Linked DNA regions of Schizosaccharomyces pombe. Changing the gene in region 1 together with any one later gene gives a genetic interaction. Each region holds a gene or a part of one and is shown in the gene's direction. Other genes may lie near its edges.

Region 1 (6,468 bases):
ATTATAATACTAAACAAAATCTCCGTGATACATAAATATATACATTTCGAGGTTATCTAAATATACTGTTTATACTTATAATTAATGCAATGCAAATGATACTGCAATCTAACGTGTCACTAAAAAAAACCGGCAATGACAGTAGCCGAGTTTAGGCTTTGCAAACGCTCGTTTACGTTAACTAAGTTTAGGAAATATTAAACGATTCCCCAATTTTTAAAGAAATGTAAATTTCTTTTTCAGTTGAATAAGTAGCTGTATCTATTCAGAGGCGATGTTCTTATAAGTATAGATGGAAAAGTCTTCCATAAAGAAGGTCATGGCAGAAAAACTTGAAAGTGTTCGAAGGAGCGATTTGTGGTACTGTTGCTTGTTGCTACGGTGTTTTGTATTTACAGATGAATGAAAGTATATATCAATATAGATTCATAAATGTGAAATCGTTTTTTTGAAAAATTCTGACAAATTTTTTTTTATAGTATATATTCAATCTTATTCATTTCTAGTGTATGTAATCCACTTTAAATATCATCAATGATTTTGAGTGTTATTATTCATCGGCGTCAAATTATGTTCGCATCATTAATTTTTCCTGTATACATAAATTTCATCATACGTTCAAATTAATCGTTTAAAAAGACTCATTATCCAATAGCTTTATTATCGTTTCGCTTTACAAAACACGCAAAGCCGTTTTCGCCGTAGATGTAGCACTTGCAGGATTGGAACCAGTAACTAATCTTCCATCTGCTATTACAAAATCACCGAATGGGTTTGGTGACTTGATAAAGTTGGCTCCTGCATCATTCAACATATCGTCCAAAACCTCCAAGTTGTATTTTTTCAGCGCTTCCATAAGTTTGGATTTATCCTCGGCCACCCTATCGAAGGCGGTAACATCTTTACCACAGACAATTGAAACAGAGCCGTCGGACGTTTGACGCTTCATGAATGGAAGTAATGTAGGACCATGGCACACGGCAGCTACTACTCCCCCATTTTCATAAATGGAAGTACCAAGTTTTTGCAAATTTGTAGCTTTTGGAAAATCAAATAGAGTGGCATGTCCTCCTGCTACGAAGAAAATGTCATACTTGTCAGGATTCACTTCGTCGGCGGTTTTGGAATTTTGCACAATCCTCCAAAACATATCATCCTTATTTTCCAAAACATATTTTTCAGCTTTGGATAGCTCAGGGCCACTTGCGATGTGATCATCATAGCTCAAAAACTCTTCACCCTTAGATCCCTTGTCAATTGCCGGACCTGCTACTGAATGATCATCGAATTGGATTTTCCCTGATTCAGTAACAATGTCAACATTGAAACAAGCATCTCTAAATACCAAATAAGGATGTAACAATTCTAAAAAAAATGCTCCAGTATTCTCACCATCTTTATAAAATGGTCCATAATAATCAGAGCAAGCAATTAAGACATTTCTAGTTTTAGCAGGCATTTTTGAGTTAAAAATAGTTTGTATAGTGCTTTACAATGTATAACTCCTTGAAGACAGAAAGAGTTCGATGAAATTGTTTGGATTTTCGGTGAAGACCATCCTTTTATGTCTTTTTTTTGGACTCTAAATATTAGTATTTCTTCGATAAATTTTCGTTTATCGGTTTTTTACGTAAACATTAAGTAAAGTGCAACGTCCACTGATTAATTATTTCCATGTCAGTTACAGAAATTTTCTCCTTAGACGGCATAGCTCTTTTCATTGCCTATTGGTATTCTAGATGCAGCAAGTTCATATAGCTAACGACTTATTTTTTGCTAATTCACCCCTAAACTTGTAATGTGGCTACGAAATGCATTTTGCATCTGGTTTGTTCGAAATTCCGTATGACAGCAGGAGCAATGCGTAGCCAAGTATTAGTGATGAAAAAGGCCAGGGTCTCGTACACTGAGCAAATAAATTCCTCGTACAATAGCAGGTTTGCGTATTCACATGTTTACATTCTAAAAGTCGAATAATAGACGAACAAAATATGTCTGAAGCACTGTTATAATCACACAACGAAAGAAAAAGAGATGTCGGGTAATTTCTGGTTCACCGGCTGAATCAATAATTCGTTAACTTTCTTTAACAAATGTGTATTCGACATGAATTTTTCTAAAAATCAAAAAAATGAACTAACTACCACTTCCTGCTAAATTTTTAATAAAAGGATGGTGAGTTGTAACGAAAACCACAATATACTATAAACCACTGCTGTATATGTTTTGTTGGCACTAAAGCAAACGATGGTTTCTTTTTGCCTTGGTAGATCAGGAGTTGTAATCTAGAAAATTACGAATAAAAATATTCGTTGAAAAAAAATTCCTAGGATGTTATGACTTTATTCTTCGATAGAGTCGCAAATGTCTATACTACAATGAATGCGACCTGCAGTAGAAAGGGAATAACGAATTGGGGAGCAGCTAGCTATTTAGGAGAAATGATTATGAGAAGTAAGCTTATATTGAGTACAATTTGTTTATTAAGAGCTTAAATGATTAAAATGACAATTTCCCATTCATACAGTTCTGTAGTCATGATACTGTGCACACATGAACAGTTTTCTTTACTTAGTAGTGGAGTATTGATAAAGCAATGCCAACTGAATACCCAATTTCCATGAATAAAGTTTTCCTTAAAAACAAAAAATTCAGATCAATTAATCATTTTCATTCCTTTCTTTCCATTGAAAATCTCCAAACTCATATATACGTATAGTAATTAGAAATGATAATTTATCTCTTCATATAATTAATAAATTTACCCTATATATAATGTAACTTTTTTCTGTGTACCACAAGCTTCTGTAGCTCAGTCGGTGGTAGCATCCCTCTCATATAATGACAGGGGAAGGTCGTGAGTTCGAGCCTCACCAGGAGCATTCTTTTTTGCCCTTTACTTTTAAGAAAGTGAGGATTGCTGCGCTAATGTTGTTCAGTATAAGTTGCATTATAACGTGCTATTTACTTGATCTATCCCCATACTGTGGGAATTGTTCGTACTCGTTTCAAAGTTATTACCAAATAAAGTATTACTTTACCATCCTCCTAATCAAATTATTGTTTATCATTTAACCACTTTGCATTTTTTGTTGCTTCTAGTTCAATCACTTGTTGTTGCACTCTCTTATAGAAATTTGACGCAGCGTCGCAGAACTTATCATTTATTCAGTTACAAAAAAGTGCAAGCGTCCAATTTCTCATTTTTTGGTCTGCAGTTTGTTTCTTTAATGCTATCAACTCTTAGCCTTGTTCAATTGTTAAGAGTGCTCTTGAATTGAAAATTTCTATTAACTTATCCATTGGATTCAGTGAAACGACGGCACTAAGTCTTGGACTCAATTGTAATTAAAACTACCATTTTCGCTTGTTAGGATTACTTTTCCTTGCAAATTTTTTCTTCTACGTTTTCACTATACTTCGCTTTTGTTCGTCATGTCGCTTTTGTCTGGCGACCAACGAATTATTTGCTTGGAAATTCCTTTGCAAGGCAAAGAAAACGTACATATTAATTTTGCAAAAGAAGTGGAAAAACTTTATGGACCCTCTGTTCAGGAGAATTCAAAAAAAAATGATCTTTCAGACTCAGCGGATTCTGAGGGCGAAAGTACACATGTTGATGAGCAACAAGCAGCTAATGGGGCGGCCGATGGTACACAGACCATAAAGAAAAAGAAAAGGAAAAGGAGGTACGCTGACGAATACTACGATAGAACAGATCCCTTTATTGATGATGCTGAGCTCTACATTGAAGAGAAGGCTGCCGCTACCAAAGATGGATTTTTTGTATTTAGCGGTCCACTCGTGGCCGAAGGAGATACTGTGAAAATCGAAAGATCAAAGAAGACTAAGAAAAAGAAGAAAACATCTTTATCCAATGCTACACACCCTGCGCCAGCTGTCTCTGCGGTGGTGGCTTCAGCGGATGCTAGCTTTGACGATAGTAGGGATATTGAATCTGAGGACGAGCAGCCATTAAGGACTTTGTCCATTGAAATGGCTGCTAAGAATGCTTTAAAAGAGGCAAAACGGGAAAATGCAAAGGTTCCCAAGGATGTCTCTAAGAAGGAAGCAAAAACAACGAAAAGCAAAGAGAAAGCCACAAAAAAGACATCCTCTTCAGTGCCCAAACAAAGTACGGGAGAAAATACCAAAAAGGCTGTTAAACTTGAGACACCTCTTACATCTACACCCCCTATACCACCTCTCTCTGAACCAAAGCATTCTCCCGCTACTGTTAATGAGCACATTTCTCCTCCAAGTGCTTTAACTAATCCTTCTACGGAGGAACTCAAACCTTCGACCTCCCTACCTATTGATCAGGGCAATGCTTCTGTCGTTTCGAAACCTACTCAACAAGTAAGCATCGTTCTTTCTCAGAATGCATCCTTACCCGTTGATGAACATCAAGCTGAACCAGAGAAATCAATTCCAACTAGTAGCATCCCATAATTATACATATGTAGTGACCTGAAGATCTGTCAATCGATTTCTGTATATTATTTTTATATCATATTTTTTTCGTTAATAAAAAGCAATTATCATCACACCGCATTGATTATCTATTTCTTTTTTAAGGCAGAATTTTGTTTCAGTGTTACTGTTTGTATGAGTAAATTTATGTATTCATTCATAATCAAATGACAAAAAAAGCTATTTAAACCCAAACCTCCTTGTTAACCATTAAATCCCAACAGACCAGTATAATTTTTGAACAAATTTAAAGTTAAGCGTCTATTTTTTCTTGGATGGCTTCTTCTTTTTTGGTGCCTTCCCCTTCTTAGACTTTTTACTTTCTCTACGTTTTTTCAAATTTTCTTCTCTACGTTGCTGCCGCATTAACATTGCTTTTTTTTCGTTGTCCTTCCTTTCCTTCCAAGCGTCTGAAGACTTTTTCTTTTCCTTTTCTTTGCGACGAATGCTCTTTTTAAGCAATTGCTCGTTATCTTTGAGTTTTTTCCCTTCTGCCTGAAGCAAAACTCTATGCCATTTATCACTTTCTTCAATTTTTCTCCTTTTCTCTTCGTCCATGCTTTCAATACGGCGTTTCTTGGCTTCCAAATGCTTTAGAGCGCCAAAGACATCAGTAGGACCTCGCTTTTTTCCGGCAACTTTTAGTTTACCATTCGAGAATTTGTCATCTCCGACTATTAAAGTACCATAAGTAATAGTGCTCTTGTGGTTGTCATTTTCCTCGTCAGCAATGTTATCAGAAGAGTTCCCAGTGTCATAAGCTGCCACTTTTGATTCCTGTTTAGCCTTTGACTCCTTTTTAGCTAACTTCTTCGCTTCAGCACGAGCTTTTGCCTTTTCTTTTCTGCGCTGTAAAAGTAGAGCACGGTCTACTTTTTCAGTAGCTTTTCTTTGAGAGCGAAATGTCTGAATCTTTTCAGCAAGCTTTGCTCGTAAGTCATTTTTTCCTTCAGTTGTTTCCATTACAGACCGATGATAAAGGAGGAATCACAAATAATGGAGAAAGAGGATGAAAATACACAATCAGAATTGGGTTAATAAACAAAATCCGATACAACCCGATAAAAATAGAAAAGGGATGTTAAAATTTCTTAAACGAAAAAAACTTTTGAATTGATGATTGATAATAAATAAAATGAAGCCTAATTACCCACGAACAAAAAAAGAGAAACCCGATAATATGGAGTTTGCGAATCCAAAAACAATTGCTTTGAAAGAAAACTTAATAAAAGGGAAAAAAAGCTAAAGTAATACAAAGATTCAATGGCTATTCAAGATTGAAAGAACGCCTTTTTGTAATAAAGACATGTACTTGTAGTGTGGAAAAGACTGAAAGAAAACCTCTATTTCGAAATTTAACGTAATACGTTATTGTATTTACCAAAAGTTTACGCGCCGTTATTATTGTTTAATGAAAAGGTGCATACCGTTAAGCGAGATAATGGGTAGGGTAATTTGTATTTAGTCCGCGCAGAAAGCCACAATATTGGAAAGAGTAAATAGTCTATTTCCGCGTTTATGAGTTTCTCTATTTTGTAAAAAAAAACATTTATGAAAATAATTTTCTATGTTTTTCGTTATGACTTTGATTCCACAGTCATACTGGAAAGGCTAAAGACGATGTAAACAAATACCTGAACCAAATGTATTTGGAAGGGATGCGATGATACGCAAGCATTGAGTGTTTTAAGAATATCCCTTATCCAAGAGGAACAAGATTGTTTTCAGTTGTTGGATTTTATCAAGAAGCAGCCTCGCATAATATAAAGACGGATGTTGGGTTCTGAAGAAAACGGCAATTCCGTTTTTAAAATCCCCATAAGCATGTAGGGCAGCATATAGGCCGAAATTAAACAAAAAAGAGGAACTTATGATGATAGAGGTCTTCTTATTTTGGTGAAAATGTACAATTTCGTTTTTCCTACGGAATGGAATTGAATTGCATTGTCGCAGTCGCTGTCTTGAACCTCATCCCTAGATACTTGCGAATTGAAA
Region 2 (4,087 bases), on another chromosome or scaffold:
TCTTAATGTACAAGTAATCTGGTACTTATTATGTGAGTGAAAAACAAACAAGGACAAGAATAAGATAAAAAGGATTCGTAATCGTGAAGATATGATTAATAAATTAACCATTTTGCAAATCACATATACACAGCTTGAACAACGTATAATCAAATATAGTAAGTTCGGAACAGGTGAAAAATTAGCGGATATTAAAGCCCAAAAAAAAACAACAATGCTTGCATTCAATAATGGGAAGACCAACAGACTTTAGATTGGGGAAAAATTACTTAGCATCAACAAGCTTCTGATCCCTACAAGCTTCGCAATACCATGTACCTTCAGGAGGAGCTTTAAGACCAACACACTCCATATGGAACCATTCACGCTCACAATTAGCATTGTCACAAGCGACCATTTGCCCATATGATCCTTGCTGGCAAAAACAATACTTTTCATTATCCTCTTCCATATCTTCTTCTGAGACCATTTCATTCGGCGTTGTGGAATCTGCCTTAGTTTCTAACTGGGTGGTTGCAGTGGCATTCGAAACCTTCTGACCGCGAGTTGAACCAGAATCTGCCAACGAAGCCGTATAAGGAGAGTGATAGACTCCATTTTGAATTGCACCCCTGGTAGTTGCTGAAGTACGACGGCGACCAGCTGTTGAGGCTCCCGACCGAGAAGGGGCCGGTGTTTGACGAGCACTTGAGGCACCACTTGGACTGTATCCACCATACGGTGAAGAAGCATAGTAGTCAGGAGCATTTAACAATTCCGCAGCTGTAAATCCATGACCGGCCTTTGCAAGTCTATCATCCAATCGCTTTATGTGCCGTGTAAGTCCCAATCTGGCACGATCCGCCAACTGGACTTTCTCGTTCTGTATATTAATTGCCTTTTGATACTCCTCGCGAATCGTCGAATACAAAGCATCTTCTTTTGGATGTGGGGTCAAGGAACCATGTGATTTAATGTATGACTGAATCTGAGAATCAGCTGCTTGAATTCTCTTCCAGATGTCATGTACAGCAACTTCCTTCACACTAATTTCGTCAAAGATGTGTTTTGTTTCGTTGGGAACATTATCCAACGTTTGCAAATACTCACTTAGTATGTAAGCTGTATCATCTGCCATTATTCTCAAATTGAAAATTATAGATACGTTCTAATTTCCGCTTTATGCAAAAATTATTATTATGATTTCAAATTCCAAAAGAAAGGGAGATTTGAGTCTTTTAAAGAGATAGGGAAAGTTGATATTCCACTAATATTTTCGATACTTCAATAACTAATGAATAAAAGATACTATGACTTTATCTTTTAAAGTAGAGGAATGTGACAATAAATGTACAAACGAGAAGGACAAAGACACTAATTGAAATAATATATATGAACCTATGGCTCGTTTTTGTGTCGTTTAAAGATTATTTTTACACTCTCTTAAGCTGCTGAAAATTTTTCCGGTTGTTTATAGTAGCCCACATTTGGTGTTGAGTTCCGCCACTCCATATAATGTAAACACAGTACTGGAAGGCAAAGAGGGCGAAATAAAAACATAAGAATTCACGCAAACCAAATCACTTTGAAGATAAATCTTTTCAACGTATGTATGATATCTAAGTTGCCAAATTGTCTATGAATTCACATGCTAAAGGTTACCATCTGTTTAAGTAATAACGATACGTTATTAATGTGTTAGTTCATATATGGAAGCATAACATACTAAACTACACCTAAGTTGGTAGCTTCCTTCTGTGTTCACTGAGATATACATTTTTAAGTTATAAGAATGAACCAGCACTAGCAATTCTTCAAAAAATTGTAAATCCTATTTGTTCTTGTGTTTATGGGCTTCAAAGAGTTTGAATTAACGCTTTGTTGAAGTTGTACATTTTATCTAATAAGGTATCGGGTTTAGCGACCTTTTGCTACGTATTCTGCGCTCGACGTAAAAATAAAGTATTTACAGTTCGTGTTGCTGTTTATTATTTGGATTGAATTCTTTTCTATAAAAAAATCTGGGTTGTTTTTCGATTTATATTAATTTGGCATTGGTCAATAACTTTCATTTCTCTTGTTTCTTCTGAAACAGTTATTAATTTGTTTCTTAATTTTATTTATTCTTTTCTTGTTCTTTCTTTAGAAAAGATATTTTCATTTAATTTGTCTCGCGGTTTTTTTTAGTATAATAGTCTGTATATCATGGATACTCCTGAGACATCCACACCTTATGAACAAGTTGAAAAGGGGTCTTTTTTTAGCTTTCGACCTCAAAAAAAGCGTGTCACATATCACTTAGATGAACAGGTGGGAAACTACCACTATGGTGACAAACATCCAATGAAGCCCCATCGAATTACCATTACAAATCATTTAGTGATGGGTTATGGGTTGCATAACAAAATGAGTGTATTCAGCCCCCGGATGGCAACTTTTGGTGAAATGTCAGAATTTCATAGGGAGGATTATTTGGATTTCCTTAAGCGCGTTACTCCTGATAATGCTGAACAATTTGCTGATAAGTTCCAACAATTCAATATTGGTGATGACTGTCCGGTCTTTGACGGCACTTATGAATTTTCTCAAAGGTCGGCAGGCGCTAGTTTGGATGCTTCTCGGAAGTTAGTGCAAGGTCAAACAGACATTGCTATCAATTGGAGCGGTGGTCTCCATCATGCAAAGCGTGGTGAGGCTAGTGGATTCTGCTATGTTAATGATATTGTTCTAGCAATTTTGAACATGCTACGGTTTTTTCCTCGCGTTTTGTATATCGATATCGATATTCATCATGGAGATGGTGTGCAGCAAGCATTCTATGAATCTGACCGCGTGTTGACGGTTTCTTTTCACAAGTATAATGGTGATTTTTTTCCTGCAACTGGTAATTTTGATGAAAATGGCGTGAAAGGAGGGAAATATTTTGCTTTAAACGTTCCTTTGGAAGATGGTATTGGTGATGAACAGTACACTAGTCTTTTCAAATCCATAATTGAACCAACTATCAATACTTTTCAACCTTCTGCAATTGTCCTTCAGTGTGGTGCTGATTCGCTTGGTTATGATCGGCTCGGCGTGTTCAATCTGAGCATCCATGCACATGGGGAATGTGTTAGATTTACCCGTTCATTCAATATACCCATGCTTGTAGTTGGAGGTGGTGGTTATACTCTTAGAAATGTTGCTAGAGCGTGGTGTTATGAAACTTCCATATGTGTAAACGAACAAATACCTTCAGAATTACCTCGTGAAACTTTGTATTACGAATTTTTCGCACCAGATTACACCCTCCATCCGCGATTAACCACGAAGATAGAAAATAAAAATACACCGAAAGCTCTTGAAGATCTTCGAATACGGGCCTTGGAGCAATTACGTTACTTAGGAGGAGCGCCAAGCGTTCAGATGCAGCAAATTCCACCAGACTTAACTGGGCATTTGGAAGAAGAAGACGAACGGTTGAATGATGAATACTTAGACAAAGCTGTGGATGTTCGCGTTCGAGGCTGATATTAATGAATTTTCGACTTTTTATTTGATATCCGTACAAACATCAAATAATTTTAGTTAATGTTTATAGACATTGTAAATATTAATAATTGACCCTATACGAAAATACGTTTACCATAGTGATTATGTATTATTTTTATAAACGATTATGCAAAAAAAAACACTAAATTTATTCCTCTTTGTCTAAACGAACTGCAGGGCTAGCCTCAATTAGGTCCAAGTTAACCTTAGGACCAATCAATTGTCTAATGTCGGCCACACCATATTTGATCATAGTGGGGCGCTCTAAAGAAAGACCAAAACCTAAACAACGAACATCTTTAGGTAATCCCATAGGCTCTAACATCTCCGGACGGAACATGCCGCTGTTTCCGACTTCAACCCACTTACCAAGCTTTTCGTGGTAGGAAAAGACTTCCAATGAAGGTTCAGTATAAGGATTATAAGCAGGTTTGAAGCGCAAATTTTTAACGTTCATTTTTCCAAAGAACACCTCAAGGAAACCGATCAAATCACCGAGGGTAATATTTCTATCGCAGATTACGCCTTCGACTTGATGAAATTCGGCAAGATGAGTTGCGTCAACGGTTTCATTGCG
Region 3 (5,971 bases), on another chromosome or scaffold:
GAATTTCAGAAAAGTTCTCGTTGTCCAAATACATAGTTAAGAGAATTGCCGTTTCTACTTGATTTATCAGCAAACTCATCCAAGGAGAGATTTGCTGCAGTGTTGACTCATCCTTTAAAAAATATTGTAAAAGAGATGGATTGAGGACTAATTTTCGAGATTCAATTTGAATAAAAGGTACTTTCTCATCTGGAGAGGCGTGGTTAGACACATTTAAAAAAACAATTGAAGGGTCGTTTAATTTTGCCCAGGTTTGCCATTGAAGACTATTAACGTCCAGAGCCTCTGAGTTCAAGTCGGAATTCCACATAGTCAAATACATGACTGTTTTCGTTTTGTAATCTTCATTTTCGCCCGGGTAAGGATTAGAAAACGTTATTAAAGGGAAGCGGGAGAAAATGGAATGAAAATAACTCGAAAATTTTGTTAGACCGCCCATCCTTTTCACTTGTCACTAAGTTTGCTAATTCTAAAGAGTTTACACCAATACCATCAATAGTGTGCTTAGCGAAATTGTTAGATTAAGTGGTAAAGCGTGCAATTTCTTCAAATTTCTACCTATATTGTAGTAGGAGAAAATATTCTGTTGTTTCTACTATACCAAGCATTAATTCTGCATACACACTTTTCTATTTTGCGTTGGATTTTCACATCCTCTAATAATCGATAAACTCGACAAAAGATTGTATTTATTTTATTTGACATAAATCATAATATGGATTTGTCTTTATTTTCAGATATCAAGGATGTCGTCGAGAGGGACATGAAAAAAAATTCAAAAGTTGTGGAAAATTCTTCTGCTAGATCACTAAAAAACAAAACAGAGGAAAACAAAACTATTGATAAACATAAAAGTTCCGTTGGTCCTAAGGAACCCAAATCATCATTGGAAAAGCCTAAAGCGAATCGGAAAAGAAAGCAATCGTATGGTTTACTCCATGATATTAAAGAACTCGGAGGTACCGAAGAGGATCTGGAGCTGATTGAAGATGTAGAAAGCGATGAAGAGTTGGAATTCGAAGAACCCAATCGTAAACAACCCAAGAAGGATGGGACTGATGCTGTAAGTCAATATCGATGTTTCTTAATTACTTCTTTCAAAAGGTTCTAATATCCTCTGTTTTAGTTTGCAAATGAGTTGAATTTGTTCGCCAAAAAATTGGGCTTTTCTAAAAACAGCTTTGATGCTCGTGCTCTAGACACTGAGTCAGAAGATGAAACCGAAATCGAAAAAAGTTCGTCTGAAAATTCTGATTCAGTTGATGTCGATTCGGATGATGAGTAAAAAACGCTTGACAACTAGTTTATTTATTTAAAAATTTTCCTTCTTATTATAACTTTATAAGCAATGAGTGTATCTGTTAAAACTGATTGGGGAATCCCAATTTCTCTGTAATCTTCTCGTTCACTTTTCAGATGCCATCACTCATGAGTTGTTTAAACCATCATTCAAGAGGAGTCTTAAGGGAATGTAATGTTTAACTAACATTATACTGAGGGATAGGTTCATACATATTACCTGAAGGAGTTGCAATTGTGTTGGACCTTTATTGCTACACTTTCATTCATTTTAATTATTTGTAAAGTAAGGATAGGAATTTAAGGCGGAGCATTCTTTTTTTATTAAAATAGCGGTCATTACGGGATTAATATAAACATTATATGTCAGTATATATTTCCTTCATCAATTTCGAAGCATTTATGCTTATTTGCATACTAAACCGTTAGTTTAATGTTTGTTTATTTTATTATTAACAGTAAAAGTATCAGGTGTGTTTTAAGAAATATGTTAAAATGAGACAGTGGCCGCATGTGCTTTCTTTACGCGTGTACGCTAGCTACTTCCTCTTATATAATAATCTGCCATTATCCTCTGCCATGGTACATGATGGAGTTCATCTAATTAGTATTAAAACAATTGTAATTATTTCTATTATAACATGATAAATTAAAAGCTAACTGATCAGCCTTGCCCTAACACTATATATTATGCGAAGTATCAGGTTCAGCGAAAGGACAATGAGGATGCTGCTTCCCTCTTAGAAGACAAAGAAGCTTATCTACGAAATCAGGATTGCATTGTTCACGCGAAGAATGACTTACTTTTTGTATATGATTTTCAAGCCATTCCATCTATTCCTGAGGAATCATCTTCTTTTATGCTACTTAATTCAGGTGCATTTTCCAGATTAGCTCTTTTTCAAAAAGATGAATTAGCTCTTCTATTAGACCTGTATATAAACTTTCTTCAAGGATTGAAAAAAACGGTGTTGTATTGGCTGTGCAAAGAATACAACTTTGTTCCAATTTATGGTGTCCTTCTTCCTTTAAAATTACACCCTTCTTTCGATACCCAGCTCTGGAACATATATGGATATCCTGTTGTGGATTTACAGCTTTCTGTCTTATCGAAAGGCCATATAGAATTTTACTTAAAGCCTACAAGGCAGACGGTATATCGTTTGTCGGAAGTGGATAATTTGGTTAAAAAGTTAGACACTGTCATTCGTTTAGCCCCGACTGGTTGTTTGGCAACATTAACCTCTGTGCATGCCAACGCATCTGCTCAAACTGTTGATGCATTGAAACACCGCTATGGATTCTCTCTTACGACTACTTCAAAGTGGGTGGGTGTTACCTTAGAATCTTCGGCATTAGAATTTTCCTGGCCTTTAGAACTTTGCTTTTTGGAAACGTCGGCCCTTCGAATGAATGATGATTCATTATCTAGCAACCTTACAGATTTGAATAACCTAGTCCTCCCTTCAAACGTCGTAAACAATAAAAAGGAATTAACTGAGTTCGCAAATGAAGAAGCGGAAGCTTCAGATAAAAGAAAAGAAGGTTTTACAGAAAAGGAAGAGACTGCTGATGCCGTTGTAACCTTGGTTCCTTCTCATAGTTCTTCTCCCGTTAATTATTCGATAAATTCTGCAAAATCTACACCTGCTTCAATAAAAGTAAATGAAGAGATACTTGTTGCTGATCATAATGTTTCAGATGACATACTAATGGAGGAAATAGACGATGTTGGAATAACAGAGGCTGATTTTGATTACTTTGACTTACCTAACGTTGAAGAAAAAGTTGAGATGATTGAGCCTAATTTTGCAAATACTATGACAACCTTAGATAATGAGGAAATCAACACTTCCATCTCTCAATCAAACACCAGTCCAAATTTGAATACTCACGAAAATATTCCAAAGCAAATGGAAATTCAATCGGATGATAGAATGGTAACCGAAGATTTAAATCCATACAACGTCGAAGTTGATATTCCTGAAATTTCTTTAAATATTTCAGATTCTAAAATCCCTACATCTGCGTATATGCCTTCATACTATTCTGCGGTAATTTTTCCCTCGTCTATCTCCAGTATTTTTCAGAAGTATAACTATGGTGGTAAATATTGGTGCCCTTCTCCTTCTTTGTCAACTGAAGATTTATTTGAATCATTTTCGGTCGCTGAATCGGTAACTAGTACAGATGAAGACATCTGCTCTACAAACTTTATACAACAAGATTTTACAATGGAGTATAATCACGATTTTTTTTCATCTTCTAAAACACCCACTAATATCTCAGAACAAAGTAACCCCGATTCAAATTATGATACGCTATCGTTAGCACATCAGGTTCTTATGAATGAATCCAAGTCAGCAAATTTTGATTTCAGTTTTTTAAAATCGTTAGATTTACAACCCACTATTACCTTGGGAAAAAATGACTTGTTAAACGCTATTTTGTCTCAAAACTTATGGTTTAGATCGTTACCTTTTTGGAAAAGCATGACTACCAGTTTCATGATGTCTCAAGATGTTTTAAACTTTTCTTCGTACATGCGGAAGCCTATTAGGGATTATTTAGAGAAAATATTGTTAGGTGAAAGTTCGGCTGTTTTCTTGAGCAAAAGCCCAGAAAATTATCTGTCCTCGATTAATAACGGGCATCACGCATTAAATGACAATCCTCCATCCCAAGTTAACTTTTCTGAAACGTTGGTAAACTTCTCCCAACCTCCTCGTGTTTTGCTCAAATACAACGAAAAAAAGTTGTCTTTAGATTCTTCGGCACCAGAGAATTGGATATCTTTATGTCTTCAACCGTATGGTGAGAGCAAAGATTTTGAAGTTTTTTTGCTCTCTTCCAAATCTCCCGACGTAAGCAGCAAGGCTATCAGCTTTTTTTATGATGTTCAGCTGGCTTATGAAAACTGCAAACTTGGAAAACTGAATTTATCTGAAACTTCTATTAACGAAAGAGTGATGGGATTCAGTACAAATATTAATGAAACAGATAATTATGATGATAATGAAACAACTCAAAGCGATACAGCAACCTCTTATGAACAACTAGCGAGTGTTTGTGTTAATGAATTAAGCGGAAAAAACGTACTTTTTTTTTATTTTTTAGAAGATGATTCCGAAAAACTTTTAAAGGCTTGTCAACATTTTATATGCGTAAAGGACTCAATCAAGAGACTTGGGGATAATAAATTTGAAGATAAATCATTACGAATATGCACGATTCCGAATTCTATTTTTGATTCACCCAACTCGCATACTACAAATTCGAACTCTTTTTTTACAAAAGTTTCACTCGACATTTATAATAATGATCCTTTATTGATGGATGGTTCATTAAAGAGACGTGAACCGGCTTTTCTCCTGAAAAAGCCCTTGTTATCAACTCTTAACTATCAGCTTAAAGATATTAATCCCAGATCTTCAGCTTTGGGAGAGTATGCGCTACATGTAACGTATACAACTGTCGAAGAGCACTTGCTTATTTGCAATTGGAATGATTCCTATGGAGAATTTGAAACTGAGAGACGCTATTTTCTCCAAGACCTTGAAATTGAAGATGCTTTACAGCAAATTTTAGAAGTCACATTTACGTTCCTTAACTCAATGCACATGGATTGGATAGTAATCGTCATGAAGATTGGTGAGATGTCTGACGCAGAGTATCTGTTTTGGGATCAAGCAATAATACCTGAAAACTTACAAGGCAATGTTTCTCTTACAGTTGGTTACTGCTCAGCAGAGCACGGACCTGGCTCAACTTCGAAAGTGTTTTCAAGGATTCCATATTCGGCTTCAAGCACAGTTATTCGTAATAATAGTAGTCATGAGCTCTCTTTGGTTGCGTTTATCCGAGAAATGGCAATGCCTGTGCCGAACGATGAATTTAAGAAAATTTCTACAATCTTAGCTAGAGGATACTTAGCATTAGACGAGGACGAATCTTATTTACCACTGTTAAGCATTCATCTTTTGATATCTCGAAATCATGATCCTTATTTAATGTTAAATCTTATTTTAAAACATTATTTAAGTATGATTTATTTACAGTTTCGAACGTATGTTTCTTTTTCTTCACTCCCATTACACATTTCTACCGTTTTATACCAGAAGCAACTATTGCAGTTTATGGCATCAGACATTACACATCCTGTGACCTCTTAGTTTTTGGGGTATTATTAATTTATACAGTATAAGTTTATAATGCGCTTGTGCCAAAATTGGTTTACTCTTGTTATCGTTTTTGTTTACTAGATTGGGAAGGTTGACATAGTGAAAACACAGTGTTTGTTTACTGTCGACTATTTCATATTCCGCCATTTTTAACCATGAAATTAGCCAACGCAAAACATAATGAAGAAACATAAGTCCTCAATTAAGTGTTTTAAGATTGACCAAATATCTCAACAACCTGAAACCGATTTGGTTTTTACTAAAAGGTCGGAATGCAAAGTAAAAGATGAGCTATTTTCAGATAAGGAAAACTCAATCTTATGTAAACAGTTGAAGGAATTAGATTTAGTTGTTTCTTCAAACAAAGAGTTTCTAAACGAAAAGACATCGGATCAAATTTCGTTTTTGAAACCAAGAGAAACAGTAGTTGAAAAAAAATTAGCAAATGGGAGTATTTGGCCTAATGAAACTTCCCATTTAGATAAATCTAG

Evidence for each region. Genes that interact genetically often act in the same process or in processes that back each other up.
Region 2: mutations in hip4 (region 1) and hos2 together harm fitness more than expected from each alone (negative genetic interaction), as found in Schizosaccharomyces pombe (2 studies listed by BioGRID).
Region 3: mutations in hip4 (region 1) and med13 together harm fitness more than expected from each alone (negative genetic interaction), as found in Schizosaccharomyces pombe (2 studies listed by BioGRID).

What each region holds. Positions count from the first base shown.
Region 1 is NC_003423.3:655,650-662,117, forward strand, and holds hip4 (histone H3.3-H4 chaperone, HIR complex subunit Hip4), read left to right. Parts: upstream 1-2,975; 5' UTR 2,976-3,435; coding exon 3,436-4,452; 3' UTR 4,453-4,582; downstream 4,583-6,468. Other genes in the region: hsp3103 (ThiJ domain protein, glyoxylase III), read right to left, coding at 674-1,459; rrp1402 (ribosome biogenesis protein Rrp14-C), read right to left, coding at 4,735-5,436. UniProt on the Schizosaccharomyces pombe protein: Component of the HIR complex, which functions as a histone chaperone that cooperates with cia1/asf1 to promote replication-independent chromatin assembly.
Region 2 is NC_003424.3:3,167,926-3,172,012, forward strand, and holds hos2 (class 1 histone deacetylase Hos2), read left to right. Parts: upstream 1-1,745; 5' UTR 1,746-2,184; coding exon 2,185-3,489; 3' UTR 3,490-3,587; downstream 3,588-4,087. Other genes in the region: png1 (chromatin modification-related protein), read right to left, coding at 266-1,117; phenylalanine--tRNA (Phe) ligase alpha subunit Frs2, read right to left, coding at 3,659-4,087.
Region 3 is NC_003424.3:3,094,575-3,100,545, reverse strand, and holds med13 (mediator complex subunit Med13), read left to right. Parts: upstream 1-1,878; coding exon 1,879-1,920; intron 1,921-1,955; coding exon 1,956-5,471; downstream 5,472-5,971. Other genes in the region: mtx2 (metaxin 1), read right to left, coding at 1-439; protein Noc12, read left to right, coding at 716-1,063, 1,127-1,285; protein mug74, read left to right, coding at 5,661-5,971. UniProt on the Schizosaccharomyces pombe protein: Component of the srb8-11 complex. The srb8-11 complex is a regulatory module of the Mediator complex which is itself involved in regulation of basal and activated RNA polymerase II-dependent transcription.